Linked DNA regions of Kluyveromyces lactis. The protein of the gene in region 2 purifies or fractionates together with the protein of the main gene of each other region. This does not show direct contact. Links are inferred from orthologs where the notes say so. Each region holds a gene or a part of one and is shown on either strand. Other genes may lie near its edges. The genes, in order: CKA2, SPT6, RPB3, RPB4, CKA1, SPT16 and POB3.

What was found.
Region 1: the proteins of SPT6 (region 2) and CKA2 purify together in Saccharomyces cerevisiae (affinity purification with mass spectrometry; 3 studies listed by BioGRID, with this or other methods). This does not show direct contact. The link is inferred for Kluyveromyces lactis from reciprocal best matches to the Saccharomyces cerevisiae genes SPT6 and CKA2.
Region 3: the proteins of SPT6 (region 2) and RPB3 purify together in Saccharomyces cerevisiae (affinity purification with mass spectrometry; 9 studies listed by BioGRID, with this or other methods). This does not show direct contact. The link is inferred for Kluyveromyces lactis from reciprocal best matches to the Saccharomyces cerevisiae genes SPT6 and RPB3.
Region 4: the proteins of SPT6 (region 2) and RPB4 purify together in Saccharomyces cerevisiae (affinity purification with mass spectrometry; 3 studies listed by BioGRID). This does not show direct contact. The link is inferred for Kluyveromyces lactis from reciprocal best matches to the Saccharomyces cerevisiae genes SPT6 and RPB4.
Region 5: the proteins of SPT6 (region 2) and CKA1 purify together in Saccharomyces cerevisiae (affinity purification with mass spectrometry; 3 studies listed by BioGRID, with this or other methods). This does not show direct contact. The link is inferred for Kluyveromyces lactis from reciprocal best matches to the Saccharomyces cerevisiae genes SPT6 and CKA1.
Region 6: the proteins of SPT6 (region 2) and SPT16 purify together in Saccharomyces cerevisiae (affinity purification with mass spectrometry; 5 studies listed by BioGRID, with this or other methods). This does not show direct contact. The link is inferred for Kluyveromyces lactis from reciprocal best matches to the Saccharomyces cerevisiae genes SPT6 and SPT16.
Region 7: the proteins of SPT6 (region 2) and POB3 purify together in Saccharomyces cerevisiae (affinity purification with mass spectrometry; 4 studies listed by BioGRID, with this or other methods). This does not show direct contact. The link is inferred for Kluyveromyces lactis from reciprocal best matches to the Saccharomyces cerevisiae genes SPT6 and POB3.

Annotation. Positions count from the first base shown.
Region 1 is NC_006042.1:1,518,384-1,521,322, reverse strand, and holds CKA2 (casein kinase 2 catalytic subunit CKA2), read right to left. Parts: upstream 1,524-2,939; coding exon 501-1,523; downstream 1-500. Other genes in the region: SLD7 (Sld7p), read left to right, coding at 1,984-2,766. UniProt on the Saccharomyces cerevisiae protein: Catalytic subunit of a constitutively active serine/threonine-protein kinase complex that phosphorylates a large number of substrates containing acidic residues C-terminal to the phosphorylated serine or threonine.
Region 2 is NC_006038.1:995,001-999,197, reverse strand, and holds the start of SPT6 (chromatin-remodeling histone chaperone SPT6), read left to right. Parts: upstream 1-1,397; coding exon 1,398-4,197. Other genes in the region: high-affinity Cu transporter CTR1, read left to right, coding at 1-855. UniProt on the Saccharomyces cerevisiae protein: Histone H3-H4 chaperone that plays a role in maintenance of chromatin structure during RNA polymerase II transcription elongation thereby repressing transcription initiation from cryptic promoters.
Region 3 is NC_006040.1:1,362,309-1,365,049, reverse strand, and holds RPB3 (DNA-directed RNA polymerase II core subunit RPB3), read left to right. Parts: upstream 1-1,317; coding exon 1,318-2,241; downstream 2,242-2,741. Other genes in the region: protein translocase subunit TIM44, read left to right, coding at 1-61; KLLA0_D16192g (uncharacterized protein), read right to left, coding at 469-834; 1-(5-phosphoribosyl)-5- ((5-phosphoribosylamino)methylideneamino)imidazole-4-carboxamide isomerase HIS6, read right to left, coding at 2,489-2,741. UniProt on the Saccharomyces cerevisiae protein: DNA-dependent RNA polymerase catalyzes the transcription of DNA into RNA using the four ribonucleoside triphosphates as substrates. Component of RNA polymerase II which synthesizes mRNA precursors and many functional non-coding RNAs.
Region 4 is NC_006037.1:539,818-542,332, forward strand, and holds RPB4 (DNA-directed RNA polymerase II subunit RPB4), read right to left. Parts: upstream 1,104-2,515; coding exon 501-1,103; downstream 1-500. Other genes in the region: KLLA0_A05775g (glycosyltransferase family 15 protein), read left to right, coding at 1-451; serine/threonine protein kinase YAK1, read left to right, coding at 1,728-2,515. UniProt on the Saccharomyces cerevisiae protein: DNA-dependent RNA polymerase catalyzes the transcription of DNA into RNA using the four ribonucleoside triphosphates as substrates. Component of RNA polymerase II which synthesizes mRNA precursors and many functional non-coding RNAs.
Region 5 is NC_006041.1:381,416-384,495, reverse strand, and holds CKA1 (casein kinase 2 catalytic subunit CKA1), read right to left. Parts: upstream 1,623-3,080; coding exon 501-1,622; downstream 1-500. Other genes in the region: CAP2 (F-actin-capping protein subunit beta), read right to left, coding at 2,042-2,881.
Region 6 is NC_006042.1:906,785-910,777, reverse strand, and holds the start of SPT16 (chromatin-remodeling protein SPT16), read right to left. Parts: upstream 2,801-3,993; coding exon 1-2,800. Other genes in the region: KLLA0_F09867g (uncharacterized protein), read left to right, coding at 3,028-3,993. UniProt on the Saccharomyces cerevisiae protein: Component of the FACT complex, a general chromatin factor that acts to reorganize nucleosomes. The FACT complex is involved in multiple processes that require DNA as a template such as mRNA elongation, DNA replication and DNA repair.
Region 7 is NC_006038.1:444,718-448,299, forward strand, and holds POB3 (FACT complex subunit POB3), read left to right. Parts: upstream 1-1,414; coding exon 1,415-3,082; downstream 3,083-3,582. Other genes in the region: DAK1 (dihydroxyacetone kinase), read left to right, coding at 1-972. UniProt on the Saccharomyces cerevisiae protein: Component of the FACT complex, a general chromatin factor that acts to reorganize nucleosomes. The FACT complex is involved in multiple processes that require DNA as a template such as mRNA elongation, DNA replication and DNA repair.

The DNA.
Region 1 (2,939 bases), on a different chromosome or scaffold from region 2:
AGATTGTTTTTTTCCCTGTGATTGAGAAATATAGACTAATAATAATGGCATTTTCAATTCTCATCACTGAACTTTCACCGCAATAATAGTTTCGATCATGGGTTTTTGTAACTATTTCCACCCTGTTTCATATTCCTTTGGTCTATTTCCTTTCCTACTTATAGTAGTGTCTCTCTCTCTGCGCCTGCGCTAGTAAGAGCCTTTTCTTTCAGGTTTGGTAGCTATTACACCTATTAATTATATATCCTTTTTAATGAATTAACGACTATCATAATATTACATCTTCTTTAAATCTTAAGCAAAAGAGACATGTGTTTCTGTCCTCTTTTTCAGGTGTTGTATTAATTATATGTTATTAGTATACATGCTTTTAATTGGAAAGCAATCAAAGACAGAAGAAGAATCCCCCAAAGTTAACCATAAATGGAAGATAAGAGGGAAAAGAAAATTTGATGATAGAGAGATGAGAAAACAGATATATATTACCGTTTAGGCATACACTATGAGAAATCTTTTTTGAAGAATTTATGCTCCATGGCTTCTTTTGCAGTTAATCTCTCTTGGTGATCATAACGTAGTAAATGGTCGATCAAATCAATTATTTCGTCCACAGCCAACGGCGTCTTATCATTGGCGAAATAGCTCCATGGTTTCCGTTCGTAGTTCTTCATGATATCGTTGTATTCTGCAGGAAGATCCAATCCGTAATGTTTCAAGTAATAGAATAACTCCTGCGTACCAAGTACCTTGGCAATTTTCACCAATTGATCTGCATTCGTGCTTCCTTTGAAAAATGGCTCCTTCTTGAAAACAATAGCTGCTATCATACATCCGACAGCCCACAAATCTAAAGAGTAATCGTATTGGTTTAAGCTCACCAAGAGTTCAGGTCCCTTGTGATAACGAGACGCCACCCTGATGTTATAATCCACTCCCGGATGGTAAAACTCTGCTAATCCCCAATCGATCAACCTTAGCTTACGTTCATTAGGATCAATCATGACGTTTTGAGGCTTCACATCACGATGCATGATACCCATCGAATGACAATAGTCTAAAGCAGTTAACAATTGTGTGAAATAAAATTGCGTATCCGATAATGTAAACGATGGATAAAGCGTACGGAAGTCGACATTTTTCACCTCTTCAAAGATCAATGCCGGGATTTTGGATCCTGGATCTTGAACAATATCCAATAATCCAATTATATTAGGTCCCCCTGTCAAATTAGTTAACACTTTTAACTCTCTATAAATTTTCTTCATCTTCACTGGCTTGAGAACCTTGATGACGCATGGTATATCGTTCAATACAGATTTCCCTTTGAAAACTTCACTGTATTTACCACGACCAATCTTTTTTATCACTTCATAGTTCGAAATCTTACCCCAATCAATCATCACGCATTGTTCATAATCCCAGTACTCTTGAGGGCGTTTCTCACAAGCATCCTGATACACCCTAGCAACGCTATAAACTCGTTTGCTCTTCTTATTCAACGCAGAAGGTTGTAACGTCGACATGATGAGAAGGAAATCAAAAAAAAAAAAGAGATGACCTCCCTTTTCCCGTTTTCAAAACTTAGAGTCTGATGTGATCCAAAACGGTACTCTCTAGCCTCTGTAGTCTCTAACCACTTCCAACTTCTGGCTGTCTATTGTTCAATTACGTTGAGCAATAACATTTTTTTTCTTTGCCTTCACTTTATTTCAATGTTGAAAACTGAAAGCATTTTGTTTGGAGCCGTGAAAGCGTCGAGAGAAAAAAGATTCGTATGGTAACAATGGATATAAGCTAAGCTTTTGCACCGTGAACCACAATACAACGGCGGACTTTCATATACAGGGAAACTAAGACTATAAAGGAGGTGAATACATTGTCTGGTCAGTTTCAAATTGTTAAGTGAAAGTAGCAAACGTGAAAGAAGACCTCGGTAGGCCTGGTATTAGGGGAATTGGACCTGGAGAGTTGCGCGATGAACCTATGACACTAGAAAAAGAACTTATCTTGAGGCTTAATGTGGGTCATAACACTGTGATAAGAGACGTCCAGTTGTGGCGTGAATTTGAGGACGGTGATGGCCAAATTGCAGTGAAAAATTGTCTGGCAGAAGTTGTTGGAATGGTCAACATTGATAAGCTGCCGTTTTGGCTCAATAGAGGTCAACGGTACCAATGCTTCACTACTAGCGAGACCAGCGTCAATTATTTCAGAGCGAAGTTGATGAGACAACGACACAGGAATCGAGGAATTGTATGTAAAGTAACGGGATCCCAAGTGTTGACGAAAGAGCAATTCGAATATTTCCTATTCTACAAGCGTTTGAAGACCGATATAAACGCGTCTTTCGAAATTGAATCGATGGTACTTCACTTATCGACTAAACACGAACTTGATAAGAAATTGATACCGTTATCAGCCGACGAACTACAATCTGTTGTGCCAAGTAACGCTGGAGCAACGATGTCGATCGAATCGATTCTAGAGAAGAACAAACGTCAGCGAATACTGAAAAGTAACTCGTTGAACAAACAAGTCTTGCTCAACGATCAACAGCAGCAATTTATGTCGTTGCTGTCTCAGTGCATACTTTCAGGACTCAGGCTACGAGGAGTTCATCGAACTCAACACGAAAAATTGTACAAGATGACGTACAAGGCGTCTGAATTCGCTTTCAGAGACGAACTCAGAGAAACTGAACCCATTAGTTTTGAATCGATCCAAGACTGTGTAGAAACACTACTGAAACTGTTTACGAAGACCTGACTTTCAAGAAGTACATGCATATACATAGACAAAAGTAAACAAATTTTCACCGCATTTACGTTAATTGAACCGTTCACAGTTCATCGCTGCAACGGATTTTTAGTTTTTTTTTATTTCCTTTGCTGACATATTTCCAGAATATAGTTAACAGACAAGCCACATCGTTTACTTAT
Region 2 (4,197 bases):
ACTAGTACTTCCAGTTCTATGTCTGGAATGGACATGGATGGTGGTTCCGAAATGACTGGAATGAACTCTTATCTCACAAGAAAATATATGAACTATCCCGTTGTCTTTGAGAAACTCTATGCTTCTGATCGCGGTGAAGCATTTGGTATCTTCTTGCTTATCGTTGTTGCTGCCTTTGTATACAAATTCTTGTTATTTGTGAGCTGGTACCTAGAATTGAAATGGTTCAAGAAGGCAGGAGTCAATGAGGAAGCTGAGAACGATGAGGCTACAGGTAAGAACGTGTTATATACTATCGAAGATCTGGAATTACAAAGGCAATTCTTGCCAACTAGTTTCGGCAAATTCATGTTCAACGTTTTCGCCCCAGACTGGGTTGATTTCTTCCATGATTTTGTACGGTTATTGATCACTTTTTGTTCTACCATGATAATATATATGTTGATGCTTGTTGCTATGACATTCGTACTTGCATACGTGTTTGCTGTCATACTCGGGTTATCTCTGGCCGAAATCTTCTTTAACAGAATCAAGATCAACATGTTGAAGGCATGGGAATTGAAAAAGGAATGGGAAAGACGTTTCAAGCTTTGCCAATGTGGACCTGGCCCATCTGCCTCTACCGATGATACTAGGTCCTTTGCATCTAGCAAAGCCACTGCTGACGCCGGCTCTACTACACCTCTAAACACGTTTAAATCGTCCGAAAAAGTGCCAAAGAAAGTCGGATGCTGCTGCAATGGTGATGAAGATCCAGAGGAAGAAGCAGAAAGAAAAATTAGAGGCATTGCTACTCAAAGAGAACAGGCGGGAAACATGAACGTAGATTTATTACCTGCTGAAAATTTCAAATAATCTAAGGCTTTTCCAACGTGCTAGAAGAAATGGAATGAGGGTCTTGTGCCATTTAGGTTACTTCAGCTCCTGCTTAGTATTAATCTTTAAATCCTATATATCATGCGTATAAATAATTTAATGACTCGGATAAACAGTTAATATCATGAATTGGCATATAATTTTGAAGTTCGACTGGTTAAGGAATGGTCCACGCATATCAACTATTGTATAAGTTTGGTAAGACTGCTAGGTAGTCGCTCATCTGTCACCAAGTCTTTATATTTTATCACTTCGTACGTGTTGAAAAGTTTGGTTCTGGTTGAAAAACATGGAAATTGGGAATTGAATCTTTAAACGCATTCGAATGATAATTACACGAACGAGTAGTGTTTCCCTTTACTTTAAGACATATAGTAAGAAAGATTGAAATCAGTTCATTACTTGTATTGGTAAGATATACCCAACATCAAGATACGGATCATCTGTTTGTCTTTTTTCCATTGATTCTGTGTGTTTTTCTGCGGATATTCCATATATATCCATATTGGTAAGAAAGCACCATGTCTGACAAAGAGGACGAAAAGCAGTCTCAGCCCGTTTTGAAGGACGACAAACAAGACCAAACTGAGGAGCCTGCTATTGACGATAATGTCAATGGAGATGAAGGCCCAAGTGACGAAGAAGAAGGAGACGATGTGTTTGATTCCAGCGAAGAAGATGAGGATCTAGACAACGATGAAGAAGAAGCTCAGAAGGTGAGGGAGGGCTTCATTGTTGATGACGATGAAGAAGGTGGAGAAGAAGATGAAGTCGTCAAAAAGAAAAGCAGGAGAAAGAGACGTGCTCGTGAAGAAGAAAATGAAGCCTTAGATGAGGATGATTTAGACCTTTTGATGGAGAATGCTGGATTCAAACGTCCGTCAGCTTCAGAGGCTGCCAAACAACGTAGCGGTAAATTAAAGAGATTAAAGAGGGTCGGTGATGATGAAGAAGAATCGGCTTCGGCGGAACCAGAGTCTGAGGTGGCTCGTACCAATAAACTTGACGATTTCTTCTCAGAAGAAGAAGAAGAGGAAGAATTAGAAGATGATGGTACTGGCAGAGCTCCAAGCAGAAAGGGTGTAGAAAAAACAGTCACTTTGGCTGATGATATGGATGATTTCATTGAGGAAGATGAGTTTTCTGACGAAGATGAAGAAGCTAGAAAGTTTAGAATCGCTGAAAAGAAGAGAATTAAGGAACAAAGGTTGGCCCAGCCTACACAGATTACTGGATTATCTCCTGATAAAGTGGATGAAATGTTTGAAGTTTTCGGTGACGGTCATGATTATGATTGGGCTCTTGAACTCGAAAATGAAGAAGAACTGGATCGGCTTGAAGAATCTTCAGAAAACGAACAGGATGAAAATGAGCTCGGTATCGATTCCAAAAGGAAAAAGAAGCTTACTTTGCAAGATATTTACGATTTGCAAGATTTGAAGAAGAACTTGTTAACTGAAGAAGATATGAACATCAGAAAGGCAGACATTCCAGAGAGATACCAAGAGTTGAGAACAGGATTGAAGAACTACGGTAAACTATCGCCAGAAGACCTTGAGCTTGAAAAGAACTGGATTAGTGACAAGATTGCAGTAGATAAAAATTTTGATGCCGATTACGATACTACGGAATTCAAAGAAGCCATTGGAAATGCTATCAACTTCATTCAGCAGGAAAACCTCGAGGTTTCATTCATTTATGCTTACCGTCGTAACTATATCTCTTCAAGAAGCAAAGACGGATTTGTGCTAATCGAAGATGACTTATGGGATATTGTATTTTATGATACCGAGTTCCACAGTATCATTTACAAGAGGGACTACGTGAAAACTTTCTACGAAAAGCTGGATATTCATGATCCAATTGTGGATGAATACTTCAGCAATCAATCCATGACAGAGTTGAACTCCTTACAGGACATTTATGATTACGTTGAATTCAAATATGCGCAAGAAATTAATGATGTACTATTGTCCACGCAGCAGGACGCAACATCCAAGAAGCATTTGAAAAACTCAAGTTATGAAAAGTTCAAGGCCAGTGCATTATACCAAGCTATCAATGATACTGGGATTACTGCAGAACAAGTTGGTGAAAATATCAGTGCTGAGCATCAACTTCATCCGGTTGTTGATCACCCTTCATTGAAACCTACTGATTCAGTAGCAAATATTTTAGAAGGACCAGAGGCCAAGGATCTTCAGATTTTCTCCCAGAATCCTAAATTGGCGTTAGAAACAATCGAAAAATACTACGCACTAGAGCTTTCTAAAAATCCTAAGGTAAGGCAAAAGATCAGAGATGACTTTTACAAGTACTATATTGTGGATGTTGCATTGACTTCAAAAGGTAGAAAAGAGATTCAAAGAGGTTCCCCATACGAAGATATCAAATATGCTCTTGGTAGAACTCCAGCCCATTTCCGCTCAGAGCCAGATGTCTTCTTACGGATGTTAGAAGCCGAATCTTTGCATTTAATGAACATTCAGATTCATGTGTCTTCTCAAGATCAATATACTAATCATCTTTTCCAAACATCTCTCGAAACAAGTAACACCTCAGAAATCGCTTCGGAATGGAACTCTTTCAGAAGAGATGCTTTTGACTCTGCTCTAAACAAGGTATTCTCTGATGTCAGCCAAGAAATCAAAGATGAATTGAAGAAAACATGTTTGCGTCTGGTTACAAAATCCGTCCGTCATCAGTTCATGTTCAAGCTTGATCAGGCACCATTCATTCCTAATCCAAAGGACCCTAAGATTCCAAGAGTTCTAACCATCACTTGTGGACAGGGTAAATTTGGCTCTGATGCGATCATTGCAGTTTATTTGAACAGGAAGACAGAATTTGTAAGAGACTACAAGATTGTTGAAAATCCATTTGATAGAAAAGAACCGGAGTTGTTCGAAAATGCATTAGACGACATCATTCAGCATTGCCAGCCAAACGTCATTGGTATTAATGGTCCAAACCCAAGTACGCAAAGGTTATACAAAAAGATACAGGAGATTGTTCAGAAGAAACAAATCGTCGATAATAGAGGATCTCATGTTCCAGTTATTTACGTTGAGGATGAGGTTGCTGTGCGTTATCAATCATCAGAGCGTGCGGCACAAGAATTCCCAAGCAAGCCTACATTGGTGAAATATTGTATAGCTTTGGGTCGTTATATTCATTCTCCATTGTTGGAATACGCTAATCTAACAAATGAAGAACTGCTATCTTTGTCAATACACAGTCATCAGTCCCTATTGACTAGGGAGCTATTTTTACAAGCCTTGGAAACTTCTTTCGTAGATATTGTGAATTTAGTTGGTATTG
Region 3 (2,741 bases), on a different chromosome or scaffold from region 2:
GGAAACCGAAGGTTGGAAGATCCTCGAATTTGTCCGTGGTGGTTCCAGACAATTCACTTAATGACCATGACTCCGAAATTTTTACTCAGTACAAAAATAACAAATAATAATGATACAAAGCCAATACCTTCCCAACCTTCACTTACTATCGCTCTGGAATAGATTCATGAGTTCGTTATTTGGAAAAAACGGTGGCGGAACACAGCTTTCACTACCTAATCCTGTTCTATATTGCATGCCTGGTAATGTTATTCTTGGATTACTGCGAACTATCAGAGCGTATGAAAGAAATAAAGTGTTGGTTTTGGTCGTAATGTACATTAAATCATCATCATACTAAGTTAGTTTATATTTTACTATATAGATTATCGTCGTTTCTGTTTGACGAAGAAGGAACAGAACGACGACAAGAGAATTCGTGTTAATAGTATCCTAATCCTTCTATAATCCCTAGGAGAAGAAGTTCAGTTATATGTTTCTTGGTGGCCTGTATATCGCATTCTTACCAAATAAGTTCCTAATTATACTTCTGCCAATATTACGTCCTGCTTGTCTGCAATATTGTAACCATGGCTTGGCAACGATATAAAATAACGAGAGAAAGACACCCTGCAAAAATGGACTTATCAAAATATCTCTAGCAACAACTTTTGCAACGATATATGGTGTAATGGGAGGATCTACGACAGATCCATCAGCCACCGATAGAGTTAATTTATTCTGTTTCAAAGCTTCTTTCCTCAAGGACTGCTTAAAGGTCTGTTCAAATCGCAAATCTGGCAATGACGCCTTTACTGAAACTTTCTCATCCACACGGGCAATTCCTTTAGGCATGGTAAAAGGCTGATTATCTGTGGATAACTCACCTTATTTTAAATTCGGTGATGTGTAATTGTACTTGATATTTCGCCTATTGCGTGGGATCAGCTTTCTAATATGTTCAAAAACCGATTTGAAGGTCCTACAAAGAAGAAATAATGCTAATAAGAAAGAAATGGGGCCACTATTGTTCGAAGAAGTTAACTATAGGTAATAAAGGCTATATATACATGACTCCGAGCAATATTATTCTTAGCTGAGCCTATTTGAAACAGTATTGATGGAATAGTCCTATGCACGTGACCAAACGCTGCCAAAGCTCAAAAATTTTCCAACTGAACAAAAGTGAAAAATTCATAAAACAATAATCGAATGCACCAAGGGAACGAGAACAAATCATTTCGTTGCTGTAGTTTGGTCAATACTCTGGTATTTGATTGAGCAAGGAGCAGGTCATATCTTAGGGAGAAATCAGAGTTTAATACTGCGAAAGAACAAATGAGCGAAGAAGGTCCCCAAGTAAAAATTAGAGAAGCAACCAAGGACAACGTTGACTTTATACTTTCTAATGTCGACTTGGCTTTAGCAAACTCGTTACGTAGAGTCATGATATCTGAGATTCCTACACTAGCCATCGATTCTGTTGAGATTGAAACTAATACTACTGTGTTGGCAGATGAATTTATTGCGCATAGACTTGGGTTAATTCCATTACAAAGTGCAGACATTGATCAAGTTGTATACTGTCGTGACTGTTACTGTGAAGATCACTGTGACCGTTGTTCAGTAGAGCTAATACTACATGCTATCGGTGAGAGTGAATCCACGACGAACGTTTATGCTAAGGATTTGCAGATTACCAGCGATTTGAAGGGTAGAAATATTGGCCATCCAATTATACAAGACAGAGAAGCAAATGGTGTATTAATCTGTAAACTAAGAAAGGGACAAGAGATAAGAGTGAAATGTATCGCTAAGAAGGGTATTTCAAAAGAACATGCGAAATGGTCACCATCAGCAGCTATAGAGTTTGAATATGATCCATGGAATAAGTTAAAACACACAGATTACTGGTACGAACAGGATGCAAGGGACGAATGGCCTCAATCTAAGAATTGTGAATTTGAAGATCCTCCTAACGAAGACGAGGATTTCGACTACAGGGCCAAACCTAATACATTTTACATAAACGTCGAGTCTGTTGGTTCCATCACTTCGGAACAAGTCGTCGTACGTGGTATCAAAACTTTACAGGATAAAGTAGCCGACATATTATTCTCATTAAAGAAGATGGACCAAGAGAAAGTTAATTTCGCAGCAGGAGCTGTATCTACGCACGTATCACAACAAGTGCCGATGGAAGAAGATATGGATCCTTATGGAGGGCCAGTAGGAGGCTCAGGATACGATGATGCATGGTGAGACAAGACAACAAGAAAAAGCTACCACAATTATCGTGAAAGGCAACGATTTTTCTATAATTCATTGACGAAACACAAGGCATATATTCCTTAATACTAGCATACTCAAAGGCACTAGCAGCATCTGCTACCATCCAATCTACCACGTCCGTTCAAAAGTTGAACGGTCAAAAATGTTTCAATATCTCTATCTCTATATAGAATGTTTATTTCCATCGAAAGTGTAACTATTAGACAAAGACTGGAAGCTAAGCGTGTTTCTCATGGTTCCATTGGACACAGTCCTCGAACTTTACAAGGGATCCACCAAAAATATCAAGAGCACTACCAAAGGTCAAATCAATTTTGCCATGACTCAATTTCTCTACTAGCCTTAAATCATCCACACTCTTAGCGCCGCCTGCGTATACGATTTTCACTTTTGGAATATCCGCAGTCCATTTGTACAAATGAGCCACTAGCTCTTCATCAATCCCATTACATAGACCCTCTACATCTGCT
Region 4 (2,515 bases), on a different chromosome or scaffold from region 2:
AATTCTACATCCTAACAACAGTCTAAGCTTTTTGACGGATACCACGATGGTGGGACGTTTTTTCCCTGTTGTTGATTCGAATACAGACTATAATCTATGTCATTTCTGGTCCAATTTCGAAATTGGAGATCTAAATTTCTTTAGAAGTGACGAGTATCTTCAGTATTTCAATTACTTGGACTCCAAGGGTGGGTTTTATTATGAACGTTGGGGTGATGCACCCGTGCACAGTATAGGTGCCTCATTACTTCTAGACAAGAATGAAATCCACCACTTTGATGAAATTGGATACAGCCATGTTCCATTTGAAACATGTCCCACGTCCATATCAGCACGATTAGTGCTCCGTTGTATGTGTGATCCTAACGGCGAATCTAATATTCCCATCCACCCAAACAGTTGCTTGATGAGATGGTGGAAAAACGGTGCCGGCAAACTATTTATTAGATGATGGAGCAGAGGTGAAACCGGGGATATATATAAGATATAGTACATAGGTTTTAGTATAAAGTTTCCAAATTCGATAATTCCTTTAGGATTCTTTCTAGATCTTCGTCAGATATCTTGGTTCCTAAACTTGGAATTAGAGTCTTGGCTTCATCTGCATCTTCGCACGATAGAGAACCCAATTGCGCCACTTCGAATGGATGCAACCCTGTGGATGATAAAAGCTGTGATACAGCGGTTACTGTTTCCTGATCACGGAAACGTGAAAAATTCGTTAGGTATATCATGGTCTGCTTCAACGCTTGATTCTGTCCACCAGTGGTCTGTTCAAGCAATCTATCTATATCCTGTAACTCTTTCTCCTGTGTTTGGGTATGCACATTGACGTTATCTTCATCATCCATGTCATCGTCCTTATTTGATGCACCATTGCTTGCCCATGTCTTGAATAATTTCCGACGGTTCTGTAGCGTTTCCTTTATAATCAAACGAGACTCACTCAAATTTAAAGCCACTAGGTTTTCCTCCTGCCCCTGATGGTTGATTTGCTTCAAATTAAACTCTTCTCCCAAGTGTAAAGTGGCAGCATTCTCTTCTTCAACAAACTTCTTCAACCCACGTCTCTTGGTTTGAACAGTGGATGTAGATGTATTCATGGTAAATTCGAGCTGTTATCTATAAGAGCGGTCCAAAAAAGTAGACGAGTGTAATCACAAAAAGTGCTATTCCAGTAATCAGCCACTTTGACAACGGTACAACTTAGATAAATGTAACTCCAGTTGATGTTTCGAGTGACAAAGTTAGTTTACCTCTCGTTTTAATCGTAATTGAATTTCCATTTTTTTTCCTAACGGTAATTATGCGAAAACTCAACATCAGAATATTGGCCCTATGACTTCATGACATGAATGTTCTCTGTATTTAAGGTATTAAAGTGAATCTTGGCAAAGCTGTTTGTTTGTACAGGACACCAGGGCTTATTTTTAGGGCAGCGCTGTATGTACTTGGTACTCATCGTGATTAGGTATAGCCAGATTCGAATTTAGCTGTTTTTTAATATAGGAAGGCGTACATTCTTTAGCTGGTTTTGTTTCTGTTACTGTTTTGCTATAAGTTCTTTAAGCGAAACTCAGGGTTATTCAGTCGATATAACGTTTAAAAGGTATTTCCGTTGAAACTTTGAGTTGTGAATTGGTCATTTCTTTGTTGGAAGAGAGGCTTTTCTAATATTTTGCTGCAATAACGTGGTTAGACGTTGACTATAATCTGATATATAATAAATGGGGGATAAGAATAGCCTTTGGAACCCTGCGTTCATGGCTTCTCAGCAGGGAGCGTCGAGTTCGAATCAGAACCAGAACTTTTCTCAGACGCAGGCAAATACCCAGAATCAGGGCCCAGAGATTGCGCCTGATGGGCCAGCTGGGAGTAGCTCCAATGCAGGCGGGAATATATATGCAGGGCAGCAACAAGGCGGAAATGCGGCTGGTGGTTTCCAAATGCAGTCGCCACGTCAATCGATATTCAAAAACCCATGGCAAGAGATTCCCCAGATACCTGAGTCTCAGAGGTCTACTATGAGGAAGCAATCCAACTTCCCCTTGCCCACTACTTACGAAGAAGATAACGCTGTAGATGAATCCTCACAACAGTTCAGAAGGAGAAACTCATCTTTAGTAATACCACCTGCGCGTGCGGCAGGGCCTGATCCGTTCCTTTATGAGAAGCAACCGTTTCCCAACTATAATGATGCACAAAGAAGGCAGTCGGTTGCTGTCACTGGTGGCAGTCAACTTTCGCCACAGCAGGTAACGAAACCATCTCAGCTTAGGAAACCTGGAATTAATACTGCGGGATATATGGCTGGCTCCATAAATTCTTCTGTGTATCCCGCTACTGCAGGTGCATACATGAGCACGCGTGGCGGCTCAAGTTCACTTCCGTCGTCAAGGCCACCTTCTCCAATAATTATTGTCCCTAAATTCAACAAGATATTTACGAGACAGGACTTGAATCCCGTTATACATTCCACACCGAAATATAGACGTGCTTCATTAAGCAGCAAGAC
Region 5 (3,080 bases), on a different chromosome or scaffold from region 2:
GAGAAATTACTGGATTCACAAACATTTTGGAGTGATTTAAAGGCAGGAACGGATTCTGCCTTTCACGTTATTTTCCAGAAAAGGTGGGAATATCTTATGAAGTTCGGAAAAAGATTAACAATTCCTATTGTTCCCTATTTCGGACTAGCATTCAGATTCTGTCTACAGATTTTGTCATCGATTTTGGAACACTGCAGAGAAGTTCATTGTGACGGATGTAATATCCTTCAAAGCAAGAGGTATGTTCAGAGTGAGTTATTGATGTTGAAAGACAAAACGTTCATTGCAGAATTTCAAATGCTTGACTGGGCTCAGCTTCAGGATCAAAACAGTTCCACAACATCTGAAAACTTTCTCAATGAATGTCAATAATAAATTCGTAGATTTAGAAGCACCCGATCAAAATATATCCTCCAACACTTATTATAGGAAAGCTCACACAGTTGTTATTAGTATTATTATTATTATTAACTTCATAAAAATATTGATCTATGGAACGGTTATAATGTGTATTCGTTGTTTCTAATTGGAGCAAACCATGGATGAGCCATAGCTTCTTTACAAGAAAATCTTTCTTGATGGTCGTAACGAAGAAGATTATCGATTAAATCAATGATATCATCGTTTCCACATAGGTGCTTGTTGGAATCATTGACGAATTTCTGCCATGGTCTTCTGATGTATTGATCCATATCAATAAACTCATCTGGGAGTGTTATCTGATATTTCTGTAAATATCTTTCGAAATCATCACTACCCAAGACGCGTACAATCTTGACTAGCTGGTCAGTATTACTCGACCCATAGAAGAAAGGCTCTTTCAGAAAAACCATTGATGCTAACATTGCTCCAAATGACCATAAGTCTAGCGAGTAATCGTACATTCTATAATCAACTAGAAGTTCTGGGCCCTTGAAAAATCTTGACGCAACGCGGACATTGTATTCCATCGATGGATGATAAAATTCAGCCAAACCCCAATCGATTAGTCTCAATTTGTGTTGCTTATGGTCAATCATTACATTGTGTGGTTTGACGTCTCTATGCATAATACCCATCGAATGGCAGTAGTCCAAAGCTTTCAAAAGCTCGAACATATAATAACGAATATCAAGATCCGAAAATGAAGCATACAACCTACGGAATTCCGTATTGTCGATATGTTCAAAAATCAATGCAGGTGTCTTGGATATGGGATCTCTGACCACATCTAACAATGTTATAATATTCTCATGCCCGTTATGAGGTAAGTCATATACTTTATCTCTCGCATATTTCAGTACTTCTTCTCTTCTGTTTGTGTAATATTTTGCCTCATCGTAAGGTTGCGCAGTTGGCGGATTCTTCTCATTCGAGAGGTTTGCAAGTATGGTAATTTCTCTCTTAATCTTCTTCTTCTTCACAGGTTTTAGCATCTTAATGACAATCTTATTTCTCGTGGATAACTGTACGCCTTGGAAAACTTCACTATATTTACCACGGCCAACTTTGCATTCAACTTCGTACTGTGAGTTATTAGCCTTCCATTCTATTGATGTATTTTCATAGTCCCAGTATCTTTGACCACGAATCTCGTTGGCATCACTATAGACTCTTGCCTCACTCCACACTTTCGATTTCATCTTCCTTTTAATAATGTACTGGAAAGTCTCTAAAACTACCACGAAATTAACAACGAGAACGATTGCCAGCCAGTTTTTTGTTGACCTTTTCTATTTCTATAAACAGTGGTAATAATGAGTCCGAGAAATCCAAACCACTCACCGTATATAATCCAGTACGTTTGAAGCTTTTGTAATGCCTATACTCAAACTGGAATTTTCATTTCTGGGTTATCTGATTTCTTTTCAGTTCATGTCTCTCTTGCAAAAATTGACATTTCGAAACTACAGTATGAGGAGTTAGGGTAACGGTTTTATGTATAGAACAATTCTAGCCAATAATTGTGTTGACTGACGAACCGGCAAAATATAATGGTGTTCATTTAGCATTTATACGTAGTGTATGTGTGTATAATTTCTTACTTTATTTATTCAATTGATTATAATTTCTGGAAGTTTTCAATTAATTCGGAGTGTTGCTCCTTTTGCAATTTGGTAGAATCATCGTTACGTTCTCTCAACACGTTGTAAATATCCAACGTCTTTTCGAAATACACGATTTCGAGCATTGATCTAAGCTTAGATTCAATATCTTCAATCATAGATCCCAAGCTGGAAGAGTGAGCGGGTACTAGCTGTTCAACAGTAGATACGTTTTGCAATTTTACGGTCTTGGAATTTTCTCTAGTTAGATTACCGGACAATGATAGTTGTTGTTCTTTTGATAGGTTTTCCAAGTGCAAGATCACCGTTGTAGTGACATTATATGTGACTTCCATACCCTCTTCATCGTGGGTGGCAGATATGACGTGGATACTGTCCCATTTAGAATCATCTGATTCAGCTTTCTTGAAAAGAATGACTCCCGCGAAATCAGTTGATTCATCAACGTCCCAGAGATACGTTGAAGTGTAACCACCCTCGTAGTATAGGTCCCTATACAACTCGAAAGAATTGTTGCATGCAACTTCTAGTTCTCTCAATGGCTCACTGGGAAAAGGACTTTCTTTCAAATCTTCGGCACTCAATTCAGGGAAGTACTGGTTAGACCACGGTGACCTATGAGAATCGATGTCACGGTTGTAGTCGCAACATAAGAATTCTTTGTTGTTAGCATCGGTATCCTTCTTAATGGTCAATGGGATATCAATTGAGGAAAGTAATCCTTCTGCGATTTCAGGCTCCAACGCAATAAGGTTCTGTAAATGGGTTTTCACCTTTGTTGGATCCAATCTGTATAAAAGCTCGCAAGCAGCATCATATTTCTCGTCCACAGACATTCTAGTTCCGTATCTTCAGTATATTTACAACTAGTTACCACGCTCAATGAGTTTTCTTCAGTTTGCTTGATGTATTTACATTTACCCTTTCTACTCCTTTAATGATTTCTTTCGTAGTTTTCCTTTCAATACGATCGATGATATTTTTCTATTGAGAGACATTGCCAGTATCGCTTACACTAGTAAAATAAAGTAGAAG
Region 6 (3,993 bases), on a different chromosome or scaffold from region 2:
GCGACTTCATGATTGTCGACCAGTTCAAGTTAATTGTAGAAACAGTATATGGAATATCAACATCTGTTAACCATGTCTTAATGAATTCAAGTTGCTCAATTGGTACAGTGTTTATATGAGAAACAGGCTTTGTCAAATCTTTATAAACAAAGACCATGTCAAAGTTCTTCAATCCAAATTGAACTCTTTCAAGTATACAAATCTCAACTTCGTTCAAATTTATGACTAAAAATGGCGGTTCAACTAATTGAATTAAGCAGTCTCTCGTTGGCATACAGAACACGGCTGATCTAGAAGGAACACCTTGGAAACCAAGATCTCTAAATGGAGAATCTACATCTAGGAGACCATCGGATGCCTCTGCTATAGCTTCAGCAAAATATCTAAATTCTTTATCAAGGGCAGCACGTTTTCTTCTTTCTTCTTGTTCTTGTTCTAATTCATCTTCATCACCATATCTTCTAAATTTCATGTTGTTGCGTCTGCTGTTTCCTGTCTCATCGACAGCCATATCAGATGCTTCTCTGTAAAATTGAATATCTTGGATCTTCTTTTTACCCATTAAAATAGGATTCTTTAGATGAACATGAATGATCACAATAAGTTCTCCCTTTGATGATTGGAAGAATAGATTCTTGATGTTTGAGAATAGGATATCAATTCTTGAATCTGTCCTCAATGGAGACTGGTATCTGATACCATTTTCATGAATGAACACCGTACCTGGCACACGCTTGGTATCGGGACTAGGCCTGACAAAGATTTGGTCCAAACGTTTAGTCCTACCAGTTTTGTTCTCCACCAATTTAGCCTGGACAACAACATCAGCCAAAGCTTTTCTTTCCTGTTCACGTTTGGTAGATTCCTTCTTAAGATCAGTAATTTGTTTGAAAACATCGCTCATGCGAGCACCATCCTTAGATCTTAAAGTTAGAGAACGAACAAATTGATTCTCTGGGTTCTCTTCATACGGCAACTCCTCAGTTTTCTTACCGACACCTCCAGCACCAGGAGAATGGAAATTCAATCTGAGATAAGTGTATTCACCTTCTTCATTTTTAGAACCGTTTTTGTATGAATTGATATGAAAAGGTACAGGTCTACCATAGATTGGTAGAATGATTGTCTGACTCTTCCAGTCGACATGAATCTTCAAATCACGTACATTGGATGGTATTTGAGTTTCCCTAACGTAAGATTCGTACTTTTTGAAGAAATGCTTTGGCTTCTCATCGCCATCTACTGCATCTGCATCACTGTATCTGAGTAAACCTTCCTTCTGTAATCTTTCATGAAGTTTTCTTTGGTTCTCTTTGCGGATTTGTTCTTTCTCTTCATCGTCAGCACGACTTTCTCCACGTAGCTTAGATCTCAAAATCTTCGATGTACCATCAGGTTTTGGTAAAGCAGGAGGCTTGCTTTTTTCAGATTTAACAGTTGCAGCTTTGTTCTCTTCTTCGTTGTTGAAGTAAAACGAGATTTGGGATCTAGCCTTTGTGTACTTGGTCAAAGTGGATGGCTTTCCATCAGAAGAAAGTTGAACGGTATCTGCTAATTGAACAGCATATACCTGACCAGTTTTACTATCCTTTAAATTCCCAAATCCGAGTGAAATATTGTAACAGCAATTCTCTGAAATTTTATGAGCGGTTGGTTTAGCATTGATCATACCAGCAGAGTCTCTAAATTCCAACCCCATCAAAGAACCAACATTTTTAGTAAAGTGAGATAATAATTCCGGTTTCTTTTCTTTGATGAATTCCAGTGTCTTTTCATAAATAGATGTTGGATCAGCTTCTACTTTTAATAAATCATCGATGATCTTCTCTTGCAAAATCAATAAAAAGTCATAATTGTCAGTCATTTCATCTGTCGGGTCAATCAAAAAAGTTCTGGTGATATTGGAACAGTAATTCTTGTATCTGATACCGCATGAGGCTAGGATGGAACCCTTTCCGAAAAGTGAGTCGTTGTTAGAACGAGCAGAAACCTTAAGGTCGAACTTAGAACCTGATTGCACAATTGGAGAATAGGCCCAATCAAGGAAATTAACGTCGAATTTCTCGTCGGTAGGACACAAAGGATTTAGATCACTTGAAAGTTTCTTCAAAAACTTGGAATCATCTATCTTGTTTTCAATTTTATCTGACAACTTAGAATTTGATATTTTTAGTTCTTCGTCAACAGCATTGACGATTTCATTTGACATAAGATCCATGAATTTGTCAGATCCCTTACTGGATACAGAAAGGTAAGCCTTTTCCTTATCATCTTTGCCCTTCCAAGTAGAAGACAAACCAGCAGAGCAATCGATTACGTTTAAAGAATGCGTCTTTTTAGCTTCTTCCCAAAGCGGTTTCCATTCAAGAATGAGCTTACCTTGATATGAATCCTTCGTTGGGACACCGACAGTATTACCGTTTTCTGATAACAGCTTGATGAGGTCCTCAAACAATTTCTTATTGTGATTTGCATCCTTGTTATTTCTTTGCCAGATCTCAAGTTTGTAATCTGATCCTTCAAACTTAGTAACAGCGGGCAAAAGATGTTTCGCCTTAGCACTGCTGGTTATGATGACACCTTTATCCTTGAAAAAGGCAATCAATGTAGCTGGAAACTCATACCCTAGCAACCAATTATGCAAAATGGTGGTCTTTTGATAAGGGTTTTCCTCATTAGTCGAACCAAGTACAAAGAGAAGACTATTTGGAGAACCTTCAAATCCAGAATATGCCTTCCCTAATTTTGTAAACCTATCATAAAAGGCTTGGAAATCAATTTCAATTCCTCCGTCACTCATTGTTACTTGAGATTAGCACAATGGGGTCCTCAATATCTAACCAAAAAAGACAACTGCCACGCCTAATAGAACAATGAGTTTGAAATACCGAGCCACGAAATGCTTTGCAGGTTATTTCAATAAAAGTACCAAAGAGTCCCTTTGCTTTAATTTCCTGCCAGCTCTTAAACAATGGGTATAGTTTGCAAAAATTATTAATGTTACTCTTCAATTTAAAACTATAATATATGCATTATTGGCGTCGCGTTTTTTTTTTACTAAATTTTGAAAAATTCAGGTTAAAGGGAGAATATATCACTGTAAACGGATTTGATTCTCTTCACGTGACTGGAGATCAATTCCATACTAAGATGCTTCCAATGTATTTTGAACCGAGGATGACTATAATAGAAGTTAACAGTGGAAAGTGCACGTTTACTTTTCATTATTGGGTGTATATCAACATCAAAGCCTATAATCACATCGGGGTGGTTCACTGGTTTATTTGTACCAAAATAATGAGTGGGAACAACTTAAGTTCTGCTAACCATCTGGATAGCGAGAAACTAACAGAATTATTGAGGAAGAAGTATCCTTTTTTGGTGATGTATGATGGGAAGAACGATGTAATAGATCTTGGAAAGTTTTATTTAGGATTTGCACATTTTATGTCGCGAGAAATTACTTTTGCGGAGCAAATCAGCAGCGAATTTATATTCGCCTTCATGCGAATAGACTCAGAAAGAAGACGTCTTGAGCATGATGACGAATTGTTTTCCAAGGCATCCGATGATCTTTTGGCTACAAGAAGAAATATAAACAGATGGGCTAAAGAGTTAGAAGTGCAAATACTTCCTATTGTACTCTCTGCATACCAAATTCTTGCAGGTGATTTAACTGAGGGAGTAGAGAAGATAAAGGAAGCACTTAGGGATGAAACTTTGGATGGATTAGCCATAAGACTCAATATCCTTTCAGCGTATGCTATCGATATTATTAACGAAGTGATAACTATTTATCCGGAAATGTACAACCTGTCGGTATCTAATAAGAGAAGTCTTGGGGATTACTCTCTACACCTCACATTAGCAAGTCTTCTTTTGCAGTCTCTTCATCTATTTGCCGACCTTTGTGAACGCCATCCGAATTTATACCAACGATCGTTGCAACCTTTCACTTATGAACAATTCCAGATAGAATTGCAGGAAAAGTCG
Region 7 (3,582 bases), about 550 kb from region 2:
AAAAAAGACGAGGTAGTTCTCCTTGTCAACAATTTAGGTGGTGTGTCTAACTTCATCTTAACTGCCATCGTTGATATCACGAAATCTTTTTTACAAAAGAATTATGACATTACTCCAGTTCAAAGTATTTGCGGAACTTTAATGACATCTTTCAATGGAAATGGATTCAGTATCACGTTGTTCAATGCGTCAAAGTCATCTGGAGCTATCAAGAAGGAGTTCAGCGAAGTAAAATCTGTGCTTGACTTATTAAACGACCATACAGAGGCGCCAGCATGGCCAATAAAAGATGTCGAAATGGGTAAATCTCCTACATATGACGAGGGTATTCTCGAGGATGTTATTGACGTTAAAAAGGCTGGAACATACGACTTCGAGAAATTATCGGAGCTGTTGAAGGCAGGTGCCGATCAATTGATTAAAAGTGAACCTCATATTACACATTTGGATAACCAAGTTGGTGACGGTGACTGTGGTTATACGTTAGTAGCTGGCGCTAAGGCAATCACTGAAAACTTGGATAAAATATCCTCCAAGTATTTGTCTCAGACCCTTGCAGAAATTTCTGATCATATTGAATCCGCAATGGGTGGTACATCCGGTGGTTTGTACTCTATATTCATTTCGGGCCTTTCAAAAGGAATTATTGAACAATGCGGAGAAAATGATGCGGTGGACAAAGAAGCCTTCGCCAAATCGCTAGAAGTTGCATACGAGACATTGTGTAAATATACTAGAGCTAGGCCAGGTGATTCTACTATGATCGATGCCTTGGAGCCATTCGTGAAAGAGTTTAGTTCAACTCAGGACTTCCATAAGGCCTTTTCCAAGGCGGAAGGAGGTGCAGAATCTACAGGAAACTTAGAAGCCAAGTTCGGCCGTGCATCTTACGTGGAAGACACTGAAGCAATTCCGGACCCAGGAGCTATCGGTTTGGTCGAATTCCTCAGGGGTGTTGATTCCAAATTGTAGATTCATTTTCAAATGAGCTGCCTCCTTTATTCTTTCCACCTAGTTATTATTTTATAACAAACTATATACAGCTTCCTACATTAACCAAATTTATGACCTAGCGGTAATTGCAGTATCATACATTGTTCCTCCGGCAACAGGGGGGTGGGCCTCGACCTGATAGTTCTTCGTGTGTAAAAACTGTCTCTTTTCCGTTCACTCCCCCATCTTACCTCTTGTCAACGTGACGCGAATTGGAAACTTTACTAGAAATGAAAATGAAAAATCGCCAAAGTGTTTAAGATGTTGTTAAAACATGAACAAATAAGAAGACATATGAAACCGTTAACGGTAGGCAGAGTTGTTAGCCCATAGTTTACGTTAGACAGGTCAGTATTACTGAAATCTAGTGATCTTCGTCTTGGATACCTACTTTTTATTTCTTATATTGGGATAGTGGAGAATGAGTACAGATTTCGATAGAATTTATTACAACCAATCCAAGCTCGGTGGACGTTTCCGTCTAGCTGAAGGAGGTCTTGGTTGGAAGGCATCCGCTACAGGTGGGTCAGCCTCTACTCAAAATAATGAACCTTTGCTATTGGCTGCAGATGAGGTTTCTTCCGTTCAATGGAGTAGAGGATGTAGAGGCTACGAATTGAAAATTAGTACTAAGAATAAGGGATTGATTCAAATGGATGGGTTCCAACAAGAGGATTTCAACCTATTGAAGAATGACTTCCAACGTAGATTCAACATGCAATTAGAGCACAGGGAACATTCTTTACGTGGTTGGAATTGGGGTAAATTGGACTTAGCTAGAAACGAAATGGTTTTTTCATTGAACGGTAAGCCAACTTTTGAAATCCCTTACACGCACATCAATAACACTAATTTAACAGCAAAAAATGAGATTGCATTAGAATTTGACACCCAAAATGAGGCATATAATCCTGCAGGTGATGAACTTGTTGAAATGAGGTTATATGTTCCAGGCACAGTTGAAGAAAATGAAGATCAAGATCAAATCATGGTAAAGGACGAAGCAGAAGCAGAAGACGGTGTTAAGTCGGAGGTTAAGACGGAAGAGGGTAGTGAAGAACCAGACGTTCAAGAAGAGAAGACTTTAGCAGAATATTTCTACGAAGAATTGAGATCTAAGGCAGATATCGGTGAAATTTCTGGTGATGCCATCATTTCTTTCCAGGATCTGTTCTTCACTACGCCAAGAGGCCGTTACGACATTGATATCTACAAAAACTCTATCAGACTTAGAGGTAAGACTTATGAGTACAAGTTACAACATCGTCAAATAAACAGAATCTTCTCTTTGCCAAAAGCTGACGACATCCATTACTTGATGGTTTTATCGATTGATCCACCAATCCGTCAAGGTCAGACATCCTACCCATTCTTGGTGTTACAATTCCAGAAGGACGAGGAAACAGAAGTCCAACTAAATGTGGAAGATGATGAGTTCGAAAAGCTTTACAAGGATAAACTAAAGAAACAATACGATGCTAAAACTCACATTGTACTAAGTCATGTCTTAAAGGGTTTGACAGGAAGAAGAGTCATTGTTCCTGGTGAATACAAGTCTAAGTATGACCAATGCGCGGTATCCTGTTCATACAAAGTCAATGAAGGCCACTTATACCCATTGGACAATGCGTTTTTGTTCTTGACGAAACCAACCCTATATATACCCTTCCAAGATATTGCTGCGGTCAATATTTCAAGAGCTGGTCAGACATCTACATCAGCCAGAACATTCGATTTGGAAGTTGTTATGCGTGCCAATAGAGGTACTACTACTTTTGCTAATATTTCTAAAGAGGAACAACAACTTCTAGAGACATTCTTGAGGTCCAAAAACTTGAGGGTAAAGAACGAAGATAAGGAAGCAGAACAGAGACTGCAGACTGCCTTCGGCTCAGACAGCGATGATGATGATGTAGATATTAACATGGGTTCTGCAGGTGAGGATGAAGAATCTGTAGATGAAGATTTCCATGCGTCCGACGAAGATGACGATGTCGCTGAAGAATTTGATTCAGAAGCATCCGCCTCCGATTCAGAAGGTGAAACCTCAAAGTCTGAAAGACCTTCCAAGAAAGCCAAGTTGGAATGAAAAACTCATATATCATGTATTAGTACAAATAAATAAATAAAAAACTATATACACTCCTCGCGGTATTTGTCGAATAATGTGTCTTTCTTTTGTTTGATTGACTAGTTCTTTAATTTTTAGTACATCTAAATGGCTTGACAAAAGAATAAGGGTCCCATCCAGAGAACTAAACTTCAAAGGGTTGAGAGAAGGATAATTTTGCTAAGCCCGTAAAAGTATCGACTGCTTTTTTCATGCTTCAATCATTTAATGGTTCTGTAAGAGTTATTCTATGACTTCTGGTGAAAGATCCTTAAATCAAGAACTAGAATGATGAAATGAATGCACAAAGAAATTTTGATCCAAGATAACTCGCTTCATACATTCGAGGTATATTAGATATTAGTATGATAGCTACAGACGGTACCTTAACTATAGAATATATCATAGAGATTCCTGGAGTTGACGAATTGTCCGGGAATAGTTTCTTTTTCACTATAAGAAAAGATTCATAGCTAAAC